2 linked regions of the Coturnix japonica genome follow. The protein of the gene in region 1 purifies or fractionates together with the protein of each later gene. This does not show direct contact. Links are inferred from orthologs where the notes say so. Each region holds a gene or a part of one and is shown on either strand. Other genes may lie near its edges.

The links.
Region 2: the proteins of BACH1 (region 1) and MAFG purify together in Homo sapiens (affinity purification with mass spectrometry; 5 studies listed by BioGRID and IntAct, counting the BioPlex papers as one, with this or other methods). This does not show direct contact. The link is inferred for Coturnix japonica from reciprocal best matches to the Homo sapiens genes BACH1 and MAFG.

What each region holds. Positions count from the first base shown.
Region 1 is NC_029516.1:93,628,750-93,635,918, reverse strand, and holds part of BACH1 (transcription regulator protein BACH1), read right to left. Parts: intron 5,909-7,169; 5' UTR 5,851-5,908; coding exon 5,611-5,850; intron 1,793-5,610; coding exon 410-1,792; intron 1-409. UniProt on the Homo sapiens protein: Transcriptional regulator that acts as a repressor or activator, depending on the context. Binds to NF-E2 DNA binding sites. Plays important roles in coordinating transcription activation and repression by MAFK.
Region 2 is NC_029533.1:4,417,703-4,425,313, reverse strand, and holds the start of MAFG (transcription factor MafG), read right to left. Parts: upstream 4,320-7,611; 5' UTR 4,161-4,319; intron 3,952-4,160; exon of another isoform or gene 3,933-3,951; intron 2,559-3,932; exon of another isoform or gene 2,126-2,558; intron 2,101-2,125; exon of another isoform or gene 1,955-2,100; intron 1,930-1,954; exon of another isoform or gene 1,076-1,929; intron 930-1,075; 5' UTR 904-929; coding exon 868-903; intron 788-867; coding exon 335-787; 3' UTR 1-334. Other genes in the region: PYCR1 (pyrroline-5-carboxylate reductase 1, mitochondrial), read right to left, coding at 5,844-6,003, 6,089-6,252, 6,396-6,488, 6,971-7,192. UniProt on the Homo sapiens protein: Since they lack a putative transactivation domain, the small Mafs behave as transcriptional repressors when they dimerize among themselves.

The DNA.
Region 1 (7,169 bases):
CTCCCACCTTCTCAAGTCTGAAGAAGAACATGTTTCCATAATCAAGTTTCTATAAAACACACCATGAATTTTAGAATTAATTTTAAATGAAGTAGACAAAAAAAAGAGAAAAAACCTAAAAAAACCCTCTACAGTACTTGATTTAAAAGTCAAAAGTTGATCATAAGGTTATTCCAGAAACATATCCGAAGAGATCTAACACCTAAGCATCTATCACTTCAGTGTCCTTCCAAATATTTAAAGTCTCCTTGACTTAACAGTTTTCTCCCACATAAGCCTTCAAACGTTTACTTTAACTTCCATTTTCCAAGGTTTTACAACAAGAAGTAATGAAACTATATTGCAGAACTAGATTTCTGAGAAGGGCCTTAAGAGACAGGGAAGCAAAGGATAACAAGAATGTTCTTACCTCACATTCCTGTTCTCTAGCTGAACAGGATTCACTGTCACCCTCAGTATCAGTTTCTGAATCCTCTCCCAAACTTATCACGTAATTATAGGGACACTGTTCTTGCTGTTGCCCTTGAACATAATCTCCACTGCTTATTTCAGAGCTGTTGGAGCATCCTTCAGTACTAAGATTGCTTATGAAGGGGCAGTTGACAGAACTCAACGTTGTAAAAGTTCGCGGAGGGCAAGGTTCAGGACTTTCACTGATTCTGATACCCAGCCACGGACACTCTGATTTCTTTGCTGAATACGTAGGCTCCAAGCGTTCTTTTGGCACTGCAGAAGGTAAGTGGATTTGACAGCGTTCTGTACTGTAAATATCGCTCCAGAACCCTTTTGCTAGATGTTCTGCTACCTCTCTCTCCACACTGCTTCGATCACCAGTTGATGTAACGTTAATGGCTTCCCTAGTACACAAATCAACCTTTAAAGTTGCATTGTCATGACTTTCAAATTTGTCACTTTCAGCTCCAGTACCTGTTGCAGTTTTTTCTGATAAGGTTGTGGTGCTTTGCATGCTACTGAAGTTACCATATTGCTCACAAGTACGTAAAAAAGACACAGAATTAAGTCCATGAGGCGCAGCAGTGTTTTGGGGGAAAGCAGCAACATCCATTTTCTCCACAGGACATGAGATGCCTTGAGTCACAGAATCTCTCTTTGATTCTTCTTTTTTCTCAATGTCTTCCTCCCCTTCTTCCATTTTTACCTGAGTCTCCTCACACTTCGAGACCAGCTGCATAGGTACGCACTCCTGAGCTTTTGTTGGGCTGTCATTATCAGGTATTTCCTTCTCGATAAAGGTTACAATTGGTGGCACCTGAACATCTTTAGTACTGGAACTGGAATCTGAAGTATGAACTTTGTCATTTCCAAAAGCTTTCTGGAATTTCCTATACTTGGGGCACTGGGAAGATGAGCTGGAAACATTACCTTTTTCTAAATGCATAGGATCTGAGGTTGGGTTGGCATTATCTTGAAGGGCAGGTGATGCTTTAGCACTGTCATCATCTTTACAGAGCTTTGCATGAGAGGCTTGAATATATTCTTTTTCTAGAAGTTCTTCCGCTTCATCGTCTATTTCTAGGTCTCCATCATCCACGTTGCTAATTTTAGGATTTACTTTCCTACAATGCTGTGTGCAGCATTTCTTCCTAGGCCACTCTTGATCTGATTTACAGTCCAAAAACTTGAATTTGAGAAATTGAAAGCAAGACTCTTCAATGTTCCGTACGCCCAAGAATTCAGCACACTTGCAAACTTCAGACACGTTGTCTTTATTCAAAATAAGTTTAGCTGTGTATGCAAACTGAAGCAAGGGGCTAAATCCCTTAAGCGTTACCTATGGAAGAAAAACAAGAAAAAAATTAGCACGGCCAACTTCCTGCTTGGTGAAACTCTCTTGCTTCCCATTTACCAGTGCAAACCACATAAAAAAGAACAAGGCCCCACTTATCCACTTCTGTTTCACTGGGTAGTAGTTAGGTTGCCAAGTTTCTAGTTACAGTCCCAACATGTACATGGGCTTAAACACCCAGAACTCACATCCTGTATTCAGAAAGTCATGCCATCAGGACAAAGAACGAGAGACAAGCAGCAGTTTTGCTTCAGAAAGGAAATCTGGCCACACACATTGTGAAGCAAATAAGAAATAATTATATCCTGTATATTTTATATGGCAGTTATTTTCTTCACTGTGATCAACCTCTTAAACAACTCTCATAATACAGTACTAAAAAGTGAAATTTATTGCTGTAATCTGAAAACCAGGAGAGGGACTCAAATTTTATAAAGATAATTTCCATAGTAAAATTACACGTGAGTTATTCCTGAGAAAGATCAAAACGCTGCTGGCATGAATCATTCCTTTAAAGAGCAATTACTGCTATTTGCTCAGTTTCATGCATCACTGATATAAAGAACTTTGAAGTAATTGAGTTTGACCGCACACAATTATTTACTACTGTAGCCATCTATGCCTTTCTTCCTCTCATGGACAAAAAGAATAGTAACCAAAACCCTAAGCCAACAGCAGTTACAGTCTCTTTGGAGAAGGTAAGCCTTTTGGAACAGTTCCATCATTATCAACTCAGCTTCTACTACAGAGCAGTTACCTAAAAGGGAATTCAAAGATAAACAATCCTGCTTATCATTGAAAAAATTACTAAGAAAGCAGGTAGAAAGGTGTAAACAGACAGTTGTTAGGGAAAATGGTAAATTTCTCAACCAATATGCTACTCATGTATCCCCTGTATAGCCCTGAACCATGACCCATGTAGGGGTGTTAGAGTATTGTGAAGTTATGAAACAGCAGAGGTAGACAATAATAGTGCTGACATTGCTATTTAGTAGTTAAACAGTTAAAATGTATAGTTTAACCATAAGACAGATGGAATGGACTGGTCTAGCCCGGATGGCTCGGATGAAAGAAGATAATGAGTTTTTGGACAAGTTCAAAAGAAGAGTAACACGTGAAGCATGAAGCCTGGGCCTAGGATGAAACACGAGAAAGAAGGACTGAAGATGTATTGATTAATCACGAGAAATGAATAACATAAATGATGTAATGTTTACCTAATCATATAAATATAGGACGTTTGTAAAGCTTAAGGGTCATTCACTAGGAGTGACCCAAGCTCTGTATGCATGTTTCACCTGAGCACTGAGCTTGTTAATAAAATCAACCCTGGAGTACCCACGAGTTCGAGTCTCGACCTGGTTCCTTTCTGCAACACAGTCATATTAAAAGTTACATGCTACTTCCTTTAGCAAGTAAAAATAAAATGGAGTATGTCCATTATTATTACTACTATAGCCCAAGCCCACACACTGGGCTTTTTATTTCTAAAGAACATGGAAATACCAAATAAAAGGCAGTTGAAGTGATCTATGCAGACAGCTTAGCAAAATATTCTGAAAACTCTTAAACCTAAAGAATTCTAAAAATGTTTCAAATATACCCTAAAGACAACATGGTGATCTGGTCAGTATTCTTAATTCATCCTCAAAAAAAAAAAAAAAAAAAAAGTGAAAAGGAAAAGAGTTTATCTATGTGCTTGCAAGGTATATTTATACCTACTATAAATAAATAAGATTTATTGGTTGTAAACAGACTACATTCATACATGAAACCAAACCAAACGAATATGTTTCAAAATTGTACATACTTCATTTACCACTCCTTGCTAAAAAAGAATAAATAAATTGAAAGATTTACAGAACAAAAAACACTTTGCTCCTCATATTTTCTCCCATATTTTCTAGCTAGCTTTCCTCAAACATGATCTATCACTGGAAAGACTGTTGGTCTGAATGAAGAGAAGTCTGGCAGAAGCTATTTGTTTCATCTGTATTGCTGACGGCAGTCTAATTTCAGAGTGTAACTTCTGTAGGAAGACAATAGAAGCGACTGACAGCAAGGTGTCACCGGTTAGCTTTGATGATCTATATGAAACAAGTTAATGTCAATATTCAAGTATTTCACGTTTTGGACCGGCATATTTTATTTTGAACTTCAAAAACTTTGGATGATCAAAAGGGTTAAGAAATTGCCAAGCCAATTAGTATTTATTTATTTGTCCCTCTCAAGTACTCAGTTTCATAAACTGACTCATTTCAAAACATTTAGCAGTTTCCAAAAGACAAGCTCCAATTTCACAAAGTGTTTTTTACCAAGTGATGAGATCAAATTATCAGAAGATAAGATGCTCTGCTGGTATTTTTGCTTGTTATTGCAGCACATTCAGCTTTTACATCAGTAGTACTAGACAATGTTGTGAAGTTGCAGGCTTAAAAGGATTTATCTCACTCATACTATTTGCATTATTAACATGCTAAGCCACTATAGAGAAGAGAGGGAAGAAGAAACGAACATACAGAGGCAACAGGAAGAATGAATAAAGCTGACAGTGTTATCATGGCGTAACATCAGTTTGTAGCAAATTCATCAAAACACATCAAAAGAGATGATGTGATCATTTTTGGTTTTCAGTAATCAGATATTACAGTTACAGAGAATCCTTGTGTTTATATATTATAGAGCTAGTGAATGAGCTATTTTAGGAAGATACAGGCTTTCTGAATACATAATTATGTTAAGGTAGTGTTCAACTTGCTCTTGTACACAAACAAGTTGCTGAAGTGACGTCACTACAGATATTCATTGTCACGCACATTTCCTCCTGGCTTTAATGATTCTAGATGACTTGCCAACAATTTTCATGTTATTTTTAACTCCCTTCCCAAGCTGTTTACCAGAAACAGCCTCCCAGAAAGTCGCTGATCATGTACCAGTTCTTCAGCTTACTTCTGCTTCTGGGCATAGAGTACTTGAAGGCTTTTGACTTTTCATTTACAAGCACAATGTTTCATATAAACAGTTGTTTGCCTCATGGCACTTGAAGATTTCAGATGGTACTTAAGAATCTGAAATGCTTTCAACTAAATACCAACTGGAATCTTTGAATGTCTTAGATGCTTCAGATATCTGATAACCAAATTGCTTTCCTATGCATGACAGGTTCCGGCTCATTCCCCCTAAATGCCTTTAAATTCAATCTGATTTAGAAATATTTATTTAAGGTGAAAAAGCAAGCAATTGTTCTTGGCTTTAAAGCATAAATATAGCAGAAAAGGAGATCAAGCTGCTAACAATGAGTGTACAAAAAGAATAGGGAACTGAAGCACAGAAAGTCAACAAGAAGCTGGAAGCAATGAATACAAGCACAGCTGTATTCTCAGATATTCTTAAACTAAACCTTGAAAATGCTAATTTCAAGGGCAAATTACAGTACCATTAATTTGCATATTATTCCCAAAATATTCCTTTTTTCTTTTTTCTTTTTTTTTTTTTTGACAAACTTACATGCTTAGAATATAGTGCACTAATTTAAGAGTAATAAACACATTATTGAACTTATATACCCTACATATACCCCAGGAGAGCATTTATCTATCTCCAGTCTGCAATGTTCACTCTAGTCTATTCAGTCTTTATCTCAACCAGCAGCAGCTTTACAGCTTAGAAATTTCCTTCCCTCAGTTCTTAACTCTCTTCTCTTTATTGATAATCTCTATTGGTAATTGTAAAACAGAGCTGAGAGTTGAACAAAACAAACCAAAAGCATGGGTAGGTACAATACAGAAGCAAACAACACTCACCTCTTCTGGTAAAGTAATGATAAGATCAGCATCCAATTGGCCCACAATTCTTGAAAGGAAGTAACTGCTGCAAGCTGCAAGCACAGCTTTGTGAGCCCGAAATCGCTGGTCTTCCACTAAAACAGTAACATCACAAAGAATATCTTGCTTTCTCTGGTCATCGAGACTGAGAAGTACATTAGTACTGTGCACTGAAGACTCATACGCAAAAACCACGCTGTTCTTCTCACTTAGAGACATTCTGTATCACAAATGTTAGTGTAAGTCTCAGTGGAAAGCATGCTTCTATTCTTCCAGTCTGGAGAGAGAAAAACAAATTGTACACATAAAAATCAACTTGACCATAACACCTAAAAACTCGCATTCAGTGCTTAAATAATTATCATTATATTCAGACTCTAATACTACAAAAGTGTAAAAAAAAAAAACAAACCCAGGTCCATTCAGCAAGATATTATGTAAGCTACTTCTGTTTACTGATTACAGTACAAACTATTTGTTTTACTTTATTTCAAAAGTAGTTTTCCTGATAGAGCAGTTAATCATTGTTAGAACTTTTCTCTCTAGCAGATACTTCAGTTTTTTAAATCATGTTAGTCCTATTACTTTCCACCTATCTTAATTCCCTAATACAGACTACCCCCTCCCCCTTCCATAACCTTCCTTCTGTTCATCTCTATTTTAATCATTATGTTTATCAAAAGCCTGCTTTCATATTGAAGCAGTGAAGGCGATTCTGGTCAGCTGGCAACAGATTGCTCTTATGATAAAGTAAACTTCTGAAATAACAGTGTTTACTGGACAATAAATAACAATGAAAGTGATAAAATATTTAAAAACTTGGAAGTGAACTCATAACTTTCCCAATGCTATTTCTGAACTCCTACTGTTTGAGAGATGTTTGAGCTAGGGAGAAGCCAGCAATACTAGAGCATGTGAAGCTGAACAGCATTTTCAAGATTAATCTTCACATTTCATTTCCCAACTCCTACTTTCTCTGGAATGAGCTTTCCTTCAAGTTTAAACAACAAAACAAAACAAGCAAATCAATAAAAAGCATCTTTGAATCTAAAGCTTGATCAAGAAGCTTCATAGTTGGATTTGGAACTGGTGAACTACAAGGAAAACATACCTCTGCTCCCAGTAATATACATTAACAGACCAAGCACTTCCATTCCACTGTCCTATTCTACCCAAGAGTTACTGTAACTGAACATAGTTGCTGACACAGGACTACCCAACCATTGCATTGCTCAACAGTTATGATATACCAGCTCTCAGCAACAATAAAACTGTAGCCAATGCAAATCTACAGTTTTCAGATACAGGAAACTTTCACAACTCAGAAAGAGAGAAAAAAGGACAAGAGCAGTTTTAAACATAGTAGGAAAACATAATGGAACACTGTACACTCAACTTCACAAAGAAAACTGCAGTTGGTGACTTGACTAAAAAAAGAAGTCAATTTTGGGGCATCTGCCCAAAGACATGGGATTTTATTATGCGAAAATGTAAGTCCTAAGGAAAGTCACACACAGACCCCATGCTTTCCCACTCAG
Region 2 (7,611 bases), on another chromosome or scaffold:
GGGGTTCCAGGAAGAAAGCCTCCCTCCGGGCCGCTCGCTGCGCAGCGCAGACTTCCTTTGGCTAGAACACCGAGATCTTACAGCCTGTCCCAAGGGCAGCTGAGGGCTACAGACCGTTGGGTGGGAGGTGCTGTCTGCACAGGACAAGGGATGCATCACCACTGCTCATACCAATCTGAACACAACAAAACAAAACCAGAGCGATCAGCAGGCCAGTCCTGGGCCAAGTAGAAGGAACCCTGACCCGTGTGGGGAGGGTTTGTGCTTTGGGGATTCCAGGCTGGTTTTGTGCCTAATTGCCCTGCACAGACAAGCTCAGGCAACACTCGCTTCACTAAGACCGGGCGTCCGTTTTGGATTTCACTATTGTGATGACACTAGTGGTAGCGACCTTGCCAGGGACGAGGGGCCCCATGCTGGAGGTGAGAGGGCCCCGCACAGGGGTGACGGGGCTCCGGGCCACGGTTCTGGCGAAGTTCTGGAGTGCCTCGTATTTGGAACGGAGAGCATCGAGTTCCATTTTCATGCTGGCGTTCTCAGAGGCCAACTTCTCCACCTCCTGCTGCAGCTCTGCCTTCTGCTTCTCCAGTTCCTCCTTCTGGGTAACGCGTTTGACCCTGCAGCTGGCTGCGTAGCCTCGGTTCTTCAGCGTGCGCCGACGCTGCTTCAGCTGGATGATCTCCTCCTTGGACAGGCCCCGCAGATGCTGGTTCAGCTCCCGCACGGACATGGTCACCAGCTCCTCGTCTGTCAGGCTGGTCCCATTCTCGCCTGGCTCCCGCTTCACCTGTGAGAAGAGAAGGCAGTGTGTGCGGTCTGAAGCCTCGAGCAGCCGCCCACACCCCCATCCTCCACCTGCTGCTTTACCTTCAAGGCCTTGTTTCCTTTGTTGGGGGTCGTCATAACACGGCAGCCACGTCAGTCAGGCTCTGGAAGGGAAGGAGGTCAGGTTAGTCCCTGGGTTGGTTCTCAGCAGGGCCAGAGCAGCCGCACGGAGCCCCGCAGCAACACCCCGCACTGGGGCACTCCCACTGCCCTCCCCAGGCAGCACTCAGCCTGACTGCATCGGACTCACAGTACAGCAACAGATTCTATCCCTGAGCACAACCTGCTGCCCTCCCCCAGCCCTATGACCACGGAGCCTTGTAGCAATGCTGCTTTTTTGTTTGGGGTGTGGGGGGGAGAAAATTAAAAAACTAGGAGGAGCCAGAATACACGGAAGCCACATTATTAAAAATAGCCTGGCAGCAGCAGCCAGGTCCGGAGCACGCCTGCTCAGGGCCAGTCACGCTGACTCAGCACGGCAGCAGCCCGCGCCTCTGCTCCCAGCTGCATCCTCACAGCCCCTGAGCATTGCACAGCAGCACAGCCCCACGCTGTGCACCCGCTGCCCAGCACAGAGCTGCCCACAGCGAGTCCTGCCAGACCCACGATGCTCCTGAGGACACAGCCTGGCACAGTCCAGGAGCACAACACTGCTGGTGAGTGGAGGGGATGGCCTCACCATCACGGTGCAGCTGCTTGGTGCTGAACACCACTGCTCCTATCCAAAATGCTGGTGCTCCCCAGCAAAGCCAGCACGGCTGGGTTACAGTCTGAGTTCTGCACCTGACCCTTCCCGTGGGGAGGATGGGCAGCCCAAACCCATGGCTTGATGCTGGGGCACACGGGAAGCCCATAGTTGATCTGGGGATTCCTCAGCAGCCCTCCCTGCTCTTGTCACCCAAAGCCGACCTACAGCCGTACACCCTTCCCACTGAGCAGTCCCTATCAGCCCCAGCAAAGCCAGGGCTGCACCAGCTTCTCCCCTCTTTATCTTCAGAGCTGAGAGATAAGAAAACAAAGATCGAGGGAGGCCAAAACCAGAGGGGAGCAGACTCCTTCACTGCCAGGGAGGACAGCATTCCAGGTCTATAACAGCAGCTCCTGGGGCTGTCTTCATACAGAGACATACCTGGGCTCCTGCTCCTGTCCCTATGCACCTCCTCCCCTCACACCTCGGGTCAGAATTCCACTGCACCCCAACAAACTGAATCCTCAGCAGCCACGTCTGTCCCACACAGCCCGGCACTGCTTCCTGCAGCAAGGCCAGCACTGTCTGTGTGCAGGTGCAGTCCATGAGTACCTTTGTACCTTCCGTGCCAGCCAACAGCAATTCCGTTCGCTGCTCTTTTGTTTGCTAGACGTAAGAGGCAGAGCTGCAGCCAAGACCCAGCTGTACAGTCAGCAAATACGGCTTTCTGCTCCTCCAGCAGCTGCAGCTCAGGCTCCCGCAATGCGCCCGGCGCTGACTGCTAGAGGTGAGCGGGATCAGCGTCCTGCAGGACACGGAGCACACCAGCACAATTCAGATGTTCCCCCAAGGCCGGAGCCTGCCAGGAGGCAGCTATTTATACCCAGAGGACAATGTTCCTTGCAGCATGACGGCCGTGACAACCCGACAGCGTGGCCGTAAGGGTCACTTTGCCACCGAGGGAGGCGGCTGCATTGAGGGGAGCACATGCAGACTGCAGCCTCCTGCAACCAGTTCTGTGCTTTCCCGTGCTGTTATTTCTCTTTCTTTGCTCTGTTTCCTCCCCCCCCCCCCCACCCTAACAAACAAAATGGCTGCTGGAAAAAGGGGCAGATGGAAGAGAATAACTGGGGGGAGGCATAACACCGGCCCTGAGGAACCCTCTGACCGCACGCTGGGGTCAGTATGGCTGCAGTAATGTGTGCCTGCAGGGCTGAATGGTTCCCTGCTACCGGGAAACACTCAAACTTCCTTCATTGTAGCAGAGCTGGGAAAAACAAACACTGGATGGGGCTGGGCACAGGTAGAGCAGCTCAGGGTGCAGGGCAGGAAACTCACACAGCCCTGAGCTCAGAGCCTGTGCTCACCTTGCACCTCATACTGTCATTTCTGCTGAGAGAAATTGATAAACGCACAGATAGAGGCACTAAAGGACGGGTCAACCAGGGCTGCTGTGCTGAGAGAGAACAGAAATGAGAGGAGCTTGATGGGGGGACACGGCTGGGATGAGTGCAGGGACACAGAGCTGTGATGGGGGTCAGGGAGTGCTCCCCATCCTGAGCCACAGCATCGCTGCTGTGGGACACGAGGCTGCAGTGTCTGTATCCGAGGAACTGGACAGTGCATGTTGTGTGCTGGGGGCGGCTCTGGGACGGGGCTGTGCCTGAACGCAGCACCAGTTTGGACCCTCCATCCCCTTCCAGAGACACAGCAGAGCACGGACAGCACGGGGCTGTTATGTGTGAGGGGGGCAGCAGCTGAGCCGGGGGCACACACCGAACCAGCCTCATCCCGGCTGTGCAGCCCGTTCATTGCTCGGCTTTTTAGAGGCTCCCGCAGATCGCACTGCAAAGTGCCCAACGCTTTGACTGCAGCAACAAAATGCCGCCTCAACACATTGCCCGGCGCTCAAAAGCCCTGAGCTCAGCACGGCCGCAGCCAATTCCCCCCCGGCGCGGAGCCGTTTCCCCGTTCTCTCCCCGTTCTCTCCCGGTTCCCTCCCGTTCCCCATCGCGGCGCCTCGCCACGCGCGCACTGTAAACACGGTGACGTCGCCGTGGCGCGGAGCTCTCCTTCCCCTCCCCCCCCGGTGCGGGATCCCGTTCCCGTTTATCCGTGTTGTTATTTTGTTCCCCTGACCCCACGCGGCCCGTCCCGCCGCTCACACACCCCGCACTTTCCCCCGTTAAAGCGGCTCCGCCGCCGCCCGTCCCGCGGGATCCCGGTGACCCCACGGCGATGCCGGGAGGAGCGGAGCGGCCCGAGCCCCGCGGCGGGTGAACCGTCGGGAAGCGCCGCGCTGCGCCTCCGGCCTGGCCAGCTCCACCGGGCACCGGGACACCGTGTGACCGAGCGGGGGCTGAGCGCCGGGCGGACCCGGTGCGGGGCGGGGCGGGCGGAGCGGCGGGGCCCCGCGCACCTGTTGCTCGGCCGCGGCGGGGACCGGGCCGTGCGCGCCGCCAACCGGGCGGTGACCGGCGGCCACGGAGCCCCCGCCGTGAGTCAGCGCCGGCCGCTCCCGCCCCGCCCCCGGGGACCGGCCGCCGCGCCTCGCCGCCCCGCCTCGCCCCGCCCGGTGCCAGGGCCGCGCCCGCCGCCCGCGCCGCGCCTCCTCCCTTCGGTGCCGCCGCCGCCGCCCGCCCCTCACCGGCCGCGCTCGCTGCGGTCACGTCCTGACGGAGCCGTTGGACCGGGCGGGGCGGGGCGGGGCGGGCAGGCCGCGCTGCACGAACCGGGACCGGGACCGCGAGCCGCCGCCGCTCACGGACGCGTCACGTGATGTTTGGGTCACGTGGCTCCATTCATGAAGCGCCCGGCGCAACCGCCCCGCGCCTTAAAGGGGACGCGCCGGGAGGGCGGGAAACGGGGCGGGACCAGGAATGGAACGGGACCGGGACTTAAAGGGACCGCGGGGATGGGAACGGCCGCGGTGTGAGCCCAGCAGGGCGGCAGCACCGAGCAAAGCGCGATGGATAGCAATGGGCAGCAATGGATAGCAATGGGCAGTAATAGATAGCAATGGGCAGCAATGGATAGCAATGGGCAGTAATAGATAGCAATGGGCAGCAATGGATAGTAATGGGCAGCAATGGATAGTAATGGGCAGCATTGGATAGCAATGGATAGTAATGGGCAGCAATGGGAGCTCCGCTGCCGTCGGGCCTTTGTTACCGCCCCACTTCGGCCCCGTCAGTTCTCATTTGTACAGACACGGCTCTGGGGCGTCCGCAGCTCCAACCACTGCAGGACTGAGGGGACAATGGAGCTGGGCCGGGTGAGCGCTCAGTGCCGGGCTGTGGGACGGCGGGGACACGGAGCTGCGTCCACCCAACACAACCAGGAGCCGCCACGGGTCCGATAGAGGAATGGTTTATTCAAGGAGCAGAAAGAGCAGCAGCCACGTCACACCTACACGGCCTTGTCCCAGTACCAACTGACACAGCACCGCACTGACACTGCCAGCACCTGTGGAGTTCTCTGCATTGATCCCCAAATGCTTTTCTTGCACCACACACATAGACGCTCTGGGTTCCTAAGGAGGAACCTCAGTGTACATCAAGGTAGAACAGGACGACACTGAGATCCACCCAAATCCCTTCCATCCTCCCCAGCCCACAGCTCCCACTGCAGCCCAGCAGCAGCTACCGGGGCAGTGTGAACATTGGGTGCTGCTTCCTGGTCCAGGACAGGGCTCTGGAAGAAGAGGGAACTCTATGGGGATGGTGGCTATAAAGAAGCCATAGAAAGCTGCTGTTGTGGGGATGACTGCCAAGAATGCACCCTGAATGAATCAGTGTGGCTGAGGGGTTCACATTGACCCTCTATTTAAAGTCAAAGCGGATGGGAAATGAGGCAGAGGCACTTTGGTCCCTGGTGAGAAGCATATTAGAACCCAGCCTCAGCGCACAGCACTGCATTGGTGTGACAGCAGCTGCTCTAGCTAAGAAAAAACAAGAGATGAGCTCTGAAAGCAGATGGAAGATGGGGAAAGAGGGATCCAGACCTGACTCAAACCTTTGAGACTGAAAAGCAGTTGGAAAGTTCTTAAAGATTCTGCTACCAACTGTTTCTACACGGGACACAATAAATGCTACCTCAGTTCTGAAGCATCAAAGGCTTCTGGCAAATAGTGCCCTTGACAAAGCTCTGAGTATGGTGCTCCCCATGCCCACAGTGAGCAGCTCTGCGCTGCCCCACGGCTGCTGTAAGCTGAGAGTCGGGTATGGAAAACACCAACATTCAGCGTGAATGTTTTCCTTAGTCAAAAAAGAAAGGGCATAAAGGGAAGTGATGGTCAGTGCAGCCAGAGTACAGCAGGACGGCAGCCTGCTCAGTTCTTCTTGCTGCTGGGGTTCTTACTGTTGAACAGACTGACTTTGTTGGTAGATGCCACAGAAAGAGAAGGAGACTCCAGCTTCACCTTATCCAACAAAGTCTTCTTTATGGCTGCTGGGGAGATCTTCTCCTTGTCTGCCAAATGCTGCAGCTGCCTGCCATGGGGTGGTAGAAGAGAGAGATGGTAAGGAATAGAAAGAGAGGAGTGTTGATGGCTCTTAAGGATTTCTCAGTGCCCACCTTGTTCGGATACAGGAAGCCTCCACAGCATTGATGAGCAGGGAGCGAAAGCCTCCGCTCTCCAGGAAGTGCAGGGCATGAATGGTGGCTCCCCCAGGGGAGCAGACGTTGTCCTTCAGCTGACCTGGGTGCTGCTCTGATTCCAACAGCATTTTGGCAGCGCCCTGTGGCGAGGAATAGAAAACAACAATCAGAACTCTGTATGTTTGTTGAAATATATTCAGTAAGGGAACTGAAATCATTTTAAACTATAAGACTATAAAACTAGAAGGAGTCTCAAGAGCATTTTGGAGGAAGCAATACTAACCAGCAAAGCCTGGGCTCCGAGCCGAACAGCCAGCCTACGGGGAAGCCCCATTTTCACACCTCCATCAGCCAGAGCATCCAGGGCAGTGAAAGCCTGAGATCAGACAGAGGAAAAAAGGGACTGAAAGTCTCTATTCTGAGACCGGTGTTCTTACAGAAGGCAGAATCCACAGCTCTAGGATCACACTGTGACTCCTGTCACTTACAAAGACTTGACAAAAGTCAGCCCCTTTACTGCACTGCTGCCATGCCATGCTTCTCTCCCACCAGCTCCAGCTGAGATGTAGGGAGAATGGAAGAAATTCAGCTTCTAGGTCATCCTAACAACAGGCCCAGATTTTGCAACACAGATGTGGACACTGCACATTGGTTATGGACTTCAGACCCATCCAACTGGTAATAGGCTTTTGTTGTTGACCCACAGCGGTCATAAACTGGATACCTGGATTACATGTTCCATCAAGAACATCAGTGATGAGATAAAAAAACCACACACTGAACATGCACAGACTTTCAGTGCACGCAGAACCCACCAGTGTCCCCAGCAATTCCATGAGCTGAGAATGCAGCACTTACATACGCAGGGCCACTGCCACTGAGCCCCGTCACAGCATCTATCAGGTCCTCTTCCACCTCCGTGCAGAAGCCCACGCTGGCCATTAGTTGTTCCAAGAGCTTCCCATCCTCCACGTCTGCGTGAGTCCCGGTGGCGTAGACTGTGGCACCTTCTCGGACAATCACAGGGGTGTTGGTCATACATCTGATCACTTTAGGTGTGGGGCAGAAGGCAGAGAGTTTCTTAGGGTAGAAAATCATTAAAGATAGAGAGAAAGAAAGAAGGAAAAATAAATAAATCAATCAAGAGCTTTAGTGCATACTTGGCATTTTAAACAGTAAGGGGATCCCAAGAGCAGAGGAACAGAGAGACTCCTGTGCACCAAATTCCCCCCTTTAAGTCAAAGTGGGCAAAACTTAAATGTGAAATCTTTAGTCGCAGCACCAAACAACACAGAGCAGAGCTGCTGTGGGGTACAATATCCTCCACAGCTGCCCCCATTGGCTTTAAAACAGCTTCTACAGACACCGAGCACAAAGTCTGCAGAAATTCAGGGGACAAGACCCACCTCTGTGGAGAGAAAAAGCGATCTGAGAGCATTTCATGTCATAAAAGAGCTGCCATGGGCAGTACTGCAGCTTATTCCGATGACGCAAAGGTG